Oryctolagus cuniculus: one gene and its partner. The protein of the gene in region 2 interacts with the protein of the main gene of each other region in a biochemical or structural test. Links are inferred from orthologs where the notes say so. Each region holds a gene or a part of one and is shown on either strand. Other genes may lie near its edges.

Evidence for each region.
Region 1: the proteins of PINK1 (region 2) and FBXO7 form a complex in vitro, tested with the Homo sapiens proteins (2 studies listed by BioGRID, with this or other methods). The link is inferred for Oryctolagus cuniculus from reciprocal best matches to the Homo sapiens genes PINK1 and FBXO7.

The regions. Positions count from the first base shown.
Region 1 is NC_091442.1:110,392,223-110,395,740, forward strand, and holds part of FBXO7 (F-box only protein 7), read left to right. Parts: intron 1-408; coding exon 409-703; coding exon of another isoform or gene 704-707; intron 708-3,518. UniProt on the Homo sapiens protein: Substrate recognition component of a SCF (SKP1-CUL1-F-box protein) E3 ubiquitin-protein ligase complex which mediates the ubiquitination and subsequent proteasomal degradation of target proteins and plays a role in several biological processes such as cell cycle, cell proliferation, or maintenance of chromosome stability.
Region 2 is NC_091438.1:150,132,084-150,135,601, reverse strand, and holds part of PINK1 (serine/threonine-protein kinase PINK1, mitochondrial), read left to right. Parts: intron 1-601; coding exon 602-886; intron 887-1,639; coding exon 1,640-1,740; intron 1,741-3,518. UniProt on the Homo sapiens protein: Serine/threonine-protein kinase which acts as a sensor of mitochondrial damage and protects against mitochondrial dysfunction during cellular stress.

The DNA.
Region 1 (3,518 bases), on a different chromosome or scaffold from region 2:
TAGTGTAAGACCCACACTGTTTGATGTAACACGAAGGGAAAATGCTGTCAATTAAACTGATAATGTTTAACTGAGCCATCCTGGTTTGAAAGGTGTCAAAATATATAAAAAACATGTGTCCTAGATTTGATGAAAACATGGATTAATGCTAGGAAAGTACTGTGTCTATCCCCTAGGCTAGAATTCAACTGTTAGAAATCTATCAACTAGGCATTTGAAGACAAGAACAAATACATTTAGATAATTGTATGAGAACTTTGGTCTCTCTCGCTCCTTCCCTCCCCGCCCCCCTTTTTCATTGGTTAGTTCCTCTAGCATCATGCCATGTACTTATGTGTGTTTCAGATGTATTATTGAGGGCAATGGTAATAGATCACTCTTACTGTCCTTATTCATCTCTCTTGGCAGTTCTGATACCCGATTTGCAGTTTCATTGAACAACAAGGATGCCCTCACTGGAGATGAAGAGACCTTGGCTTCATATGGGATTGTTTCTGGGGACTTGATATGTTTGATTCTTGAAGATGCCATTCCAGCAGCTAACTTGCCTTCATCCACAGATTCAGAGAATTCCTCAGTCCAGAATAATGACCACCCCTCTTTGGCCGCCAGCTCCAGTCAGGCCAGCCAGCCCGATGAACAACTGCGCGATTCATTCCAAGAACAGGCAGCTCAGTCTGACGTCTGGCATGATGACAGCATGGTAGGTATGAAGGGCCCACGTGTGAAGTGGAGTAGTTGATAACTCACATTGAACTCCTCCGTTGAACTCCTGATCATTCAGGATAGTTACTACCAGGCGACTGCAGGTTACATTCTCAGAGAACGTTATTTTTTTAAAAAACTGCTAAAGGTCTGAAGCAGTATGGGGCTGTTATTCCAGAGTGTCTAGTTTGTACCTTGATGTTTTGTTCACTCACTGTTTTGGCTACAGTACCCATTGGCTTTGGCGGCTGTCTCTGTGCTCCTGATCCCCAGCTTGGCTTCTTGGGAAGCTACCCCACAAAGCTGTTCTAGTCCAGTGATTTCCACAAGGCTTGAGGACACGTGCACCCGGAGTGCTTAAACTGTTAAGTTAGTCTTGAGATGTCTAACACGAACTCGGAAGGCTGTGCACATCCCATCCTTCTCTGCCCGTCGGTGGCACAGCTGTTTTCCTGTGGTTTTTGACTCCTGATCGCCAGCCCGTTAACCAGCTGCGTCAGTTTTTCTTTTTCATGTTAGGCTTCCAATGTCTTCTTCAATCTGCTTTCAAGTTTTGCCATTTTCCTATGTTCTTCATTTTCTTGTTTCTTTGCTCTGTAGTAACTGTCTAGTAAATAGACCATAATTTTTGAGCTGAAAAAAAAATCAAGTTCCATCTGTATTTTTTTTTAAGATTTATTTATTTATTTGCAAGGCAGAGTTAGAGAGAGAGAAACAGAGAGAGAGAGAGACATCTTCCATCGCTGGTTCACTCCCAGATGACCGCAACAGCCGGAGCTTCTTTCCGGTCTCACACGCCGGTGCAGGGGCCCAAGGACTTGGGCCATCTTCTACTGCTTTTGCAGGCCATAGCAGAGAGCTGGATCGGAAGCGGAGCAGCTGGGACTGCGGCAGCGGCTTTACCCGCTGTGCCACAGCGCCGCCACAGCGCCGGGGCCTCCGTCTGTCTTAAAGAGGAAAATGTTGTCTGTCTTCCTGTTCCTAGTTTTCGAGGCTTTCTGGAAAGCTGCCTCCCCCTCCCCTTTCCAGGGCTGGTTTTTGTTCTCCCTCCTGTAAACGCCTGTCTCCTGCCAGACCAGACTGCTTCATCATCTCCACCCACCAGCCAGCACATCACAGGCTCCGGGGCCCAGGCGCACACGGCAGTGACCCCTTCTGCACCTTAGCTCTCGTTGTTCACCCACACTGAGGCCCCCTGCCTGTCCTGCCTCTCGGTCTGTATGTCTGCCCATCTCCCCAGGCCTGTGCCTGCTGTAACCCAACGTTTGATTTGATTTCTTTGGATTGTTTATCTTGTTTTATCAACACCTCTATATTATCCCATTTAAAAATTTAAAAATTTATTTTATGGTACAAATGATTACTTTTTTTACTTTTGAAAATACAAACACATGCCTTTTTGTTAATTGTTTTGTGTGTATACTTTTTTTAAAAAACAAGGATTTATTTATGTGAAAGAGTTACAGAGAGGCAGAGGCAGAGAGCGAAGTCTTCCCTTCCGCGGTTCACTCCCCAGATGGCTGCAACGGCCAGAGCTGGGCTGATCTGAAGCCAGGAGCCTCTTCTGGATCTCCCGTGAGCGTGGGAGGCCTTGGGCCATCTTCCACTGCTTTCCCAGGCCATGGCAGAGAGCTGGATCAGAAGTGGAGCAGCTGGGACCTGAACTAGCACCCACATGGGAGGCTTTACCACTACGCCAGAGCGCTGGCCCCTTGTGTGTGTACTTGCCATCTCAGCCAAAGCATTCATGGTACCTCTCATGGCATTAAGTTTAGATAGATACTAAAACAACACTTTTTAACAGATTGGTAAATTGTGGAAAATCACTTATGTCTGAATAAATGGATTTTAATTTATTTTAGAAACTATTGGATCTCTGTGTTTCTGCCTCATAGAGATAATTTAGAGAATAAGTAAGAATATTTAGATACATTTTAAAATTGCACTTCCAAGGTTTTTTTTTTTTTTTGCTGAGCAAGGGATAACTTTAGTAGAAGGGCTTATTCTCTGTGTACATTAAACAAGGTGAAGCTTTTCATAGCGTAGGAGAATGTTGAGAAGTTAGTGTTGCCTCAAGTTAATAATTTCAGTACTAAAACCATTGTGTGGTATTCCAAGGGTTGTGACTGGAAAAACTCAGCATGGTAACCAAGCCTAAATAACCCCGTGAGTACTTGATACAGTATGATCTGCTTCAGTGTGGAATGGAGCCATAGAAAAGGAAATAGATGGGGAAAGTTTAAAACCATAGGAGATACATTTCACCCTTGTAATCAAACAAGAAATTGATTTTCTGATTTCACTGTCTTTGAGAACTCATCTAGTGTGTGTTGAGTCTTTAATGAGGAACAGAGGTGGAGGTGTCAGAGATCTCTTAGGTACGTGTTAGTCACCCATTTCAGTCCCTTGCCAGTGGCCGTGGCAAAGTGATCTGCTCTGAGAGGTGGTGCCCAGCACCCAGCACGTGTGAAGAAGATAACCGTTATCAGCGCGGCTCAGGGCGTGGGCCGCTTCTCGCGGCGTGGGAGGCCGTTTGGACAAGTCTGCCGGGGCCTTGCGCTCTTCCTCCTGTGTGATTATCAGCTTAGGGTGACCCTGTTTCTATTTTCCCACAAATGTGAGAACAGCTCTCACCTCTCACTCCACCCTTTCACTCACACTGTATAGTTTTAATTTCCTCTGCCCTTTCTTTAGCGGGAATACAGATGTAAAAGGAGAAACATGTGCTTTGCCTTAAGAGTGGGGCTCTTGCCTAGGAAACAAGCTTGCCGAGCAAAGCTAACGTAGCTGACTTGGTTTCGCTGAAGCTGTGT
Region 2 (3,518 bases):
TCGGCATATGAGACTCTCCGAGAGGAAGCAGCGCCTGGGCGGGTGAGGTGACGGCCCTGAGTCTGACGCGGAGGCGAGCCCAGCGTTTCGGGGATAGGCTGTTTCCTTAGCACCACGCAGGGCCCAGCAGCCACCTGCCCCTGGCAGAACCTGTACTGAACCGGGTGACCCACCAGAGGCCCGAGAGGCAGCAACAGCCAGGCAGGGCTGAGTGACTGCTCCGGGGCGCGCCTGGTCTCATCTGCTTGCCTGCCGCGGGGCCAGGGCCAGGGCCCTGTGGGGAGCCGGCTGCACAGTCAGGCGGCTGCAGGACTGCCGGGGTGGGGGCAGCAGAGGACCATGTGTCCCCGGGACTCAGACGTCCTGACCTCGCCCCCGCCACACTGGGCTGTGCCTGTCATCGCGGTGCAGGGAAAGGACGTGAAAATGTGCTCAGGCAGAGTGGCCCGAGCCCCGGGGAGCAGTCAGGCCCGGTGCGGTTGGGTTTTTATGGACTCTGGGACTGTGGGTGTGAGGCCCCTGCCTCGGAACACCTCTCCCCGCCGGCTCTCTTCCTTCCCTTCCCGGCTCCCTGGCTCACGGAGCGCTCTCTCCCTCGCAGGCCATCTTCACCCAGAGAAGCAGGCTGGAGGCCGACCCGCTGGCCGCCAGGCGCCGGCAGGGCTTCCAGCTGGAGGAGTACCTGATCGGGCAGCCCATCGGCAAGGGCTGCAGCGCCGCCGTCTACGAAGCCGCCATGCCCGCCTTGCCTGTGCGCCTGGAGGTGGCACAGGGTGCCCGGCGCCCGGGGAGCGGCCCGGATCCCGCGGCAGCAGGAGCCCAGGAGGCGCACGCTCCCGCCACCCCTGCCTTTCCCTTGGCCATCAAGATGATGTGGAACATCTCGGTAAGGGCGGCCCTTCCTCTGCTGAGTCGGCGTCGCCCACAGCGCGGGGTCTTGGTGGGCCCTGGGGAGGGTCCTCCGGGCGGGAGCTAGGGAACGTGTGGCCCCGCCCCCTCGCCATCTCTCCCGGGGTCCAGAGCTCCCTGTAACCTGTCCGCAGCCACCTGGGACTGAGCAGCTCAGGGGGGGGCCTCGGGTCCTGCCTCTGGAGCCAGCTCCTGGGGGGTGCCAGTGCAGTGGGTCTGTGGGCCACGCAGGAGCGAGTGCCCGCACCAGTGGCTTCCAGACCCATCGGTGGGCTCACGTCTGGCCGGCCGTTGCTTGGAACCACCACCATGCTGGCGAGGAGCCGGCCCCCCCGCCCCACCCCCACCCCCAGCTGGAGGCCTCGCCTGTCAGCCCCGCTCTCAGCTCTCGGAAGGCCCTGGCAAGTAGAATACTTTCCCCGACATGAGCGTGGGTCTGTCTGTTAGAGGAATCTTTCCCCACCCGTCGAGGTTGGGTTTAGAGAATTAATCCACCCCTGGCACGCCCCTGCTCAGAACACGCACCCACGGCGGAGGCAGAGAGCGGCCCGGCCCCCCGCGCTCCATACCGGCGCGTGCAGTTTCTGGCTGGGATGCGGGCCTTGGGACCGGGAGTGTGGAGGCTTGGCTTCCCACCTCACAGCGTTGCCTCCTCCGCCTGAAGGTCAGAGCTGGCCCCAGGCACGCGGCCGCGTCTGTGTAACCCTGGTCTTTCCTGCTGCCGCTGCAGGCCGGCTCCTCCAGCGAGGCCATCTTCAGGACCATGAGCCAGGAGCTCGTCCCAGCCAGCCGAGTGGCCCTGGCCGGGGAGTACGGAGCGGTCACGCACAGGTGAGCGCCCCCCCCCCCACCTGGCCAGCTGAGTTCTTTGAGAGCCAAGTCATCGCCTGGGTCCCCGCACTCAGCGCGATGCCAGATGTGACACAGCAACAAATGTTTCCCGAATCATTTGATCAGGCGGGTTTTCAGTCGGGGGAGAATTTAGCTTGGCAAAGATTTCAGATCACGTGGCCCCAGCTGATGCAGATGGCGAATTCACATCAGAGCAGGGGAGAAAGGCCACTCGCAAATGCCCAGTTCCAAACGCGGGGGAAGTGGACGAGGCCCCAGACTCCTCCTAAGCGGTGTGCAGCGCCACCTAGTGGCTACGCCCGCTCGGGGCCCGTTGCACCAGCAGCTCCCTGCGCTGCCGGCACCAGAGTGCTGTGTCGTGCCAGAGTCCTGCGTGTGGGCAGAGCCCGGCCAGCGCAGCGCAGAGCAGAGCCAGTGTTGGCAGTGCCAGGGCAGCGTCTGCCCAGGTGCCCGGTAGGCCGTACGCTCCCTGCAGGGCCAGGCCACGCGGAGGGAGCGCGTGCTCCCTGTGGAGGGTGTTCTCAGCTGAGGGAAGAGCTGATTGGACGGTGCACGGCAGCCTGCAGGCCAGGCCGGCTCTGCAAATGCCGGCTGGGTCAGCGGCGCCCCCCAGGGAGCCGCGGGACAGCTGCGGTGCTGGTGACAGAGTGGAGGGTTGGCTTTCCCATCTCAGTCCCGTCAGGCGCAGGAAGACAGCGACGTGTGGGGATAGGCATGGAGAAGCCCTGTGGCCTGGAAGAGTCCCGGGTGGCTGAGTCCCTGCTGGGCCCCAGGAGCGTGGTGCTGCCGCCCTCCCCTCCCCAGCCCTCTGTGCAGGAAACAGCTGCCCAGGGCGGACGTGAATCCTCACTGCTGTGATGTCACCTGCCTGACGCCCCTCTGTCATTTCACAGCATGAATCGTCATCCAGCCCCCCCCCCAGATTGATTTTCACAGAGTTGCAGAGAAGGGGGGAGTCAGAGAGTCTTCCATCTGCTGGTTCATTCCCCAGACGGCTGCCATGGCCAGCACTGGGCCGGAGCGAAGCCAGGAGCCCCCTCTGGGTCTCCCACAAGAGTAGGGACCCAAGCACTTGGGCCATCTTCCACTACTTTCCCTGGCACATTAGCAGAGAGCTGGATCGGAAATGGAGCAGCCAGGACTTGAACTGGCACCCACATGGGATGCCAGCGTCACAGGTGGTGGCTTTGCCCACTGTGCTACAATGCCAACCCACCATGTAGTCTTTTTTTTAATATTTATTTATTTATTTGAAAGGCAGAGTTACAGAAAGGCAGAGAGAGAGAGAGAGATCTTCTGTCCGATTGTTCACTCCCCAGATGGCTACAACAGCCAGAGCTGCGCCAGTCTGAAGCCAGGAGCCATAGCAGAGAGTTAGATCAGAAGTGGAGCAGCTGGGTCTCGAACTGGCGCCCATATGGACGCCAGCAGGCTGCAGCTTTATCTGCTACGCCACAGCCAGCCCCCCACCATTTAGTCATAAATCAGACGTCTTTGTAGATTCGCTGCCGTCCGGCTGTGCCATAGGCGCATATCCATGGAGTGCAGGACGGCTGTGGCGGGAGCAGCTCTGCCCCACAAGCCCCCGGGAGTGTCCCCTGCCTGCACCTCCTAGGAGCCCCCCGCGAGGTGCACCTCCTGCTTCTCCGTCATCCGTCTGCACTTACCCCTCCACTCCGCCAAGCTGCCCCAGGACGGACGGCTCCTGACGCAGCAGCTTAGCACGTGCGTGGCCGCACCCCCCACCGACTCCCATG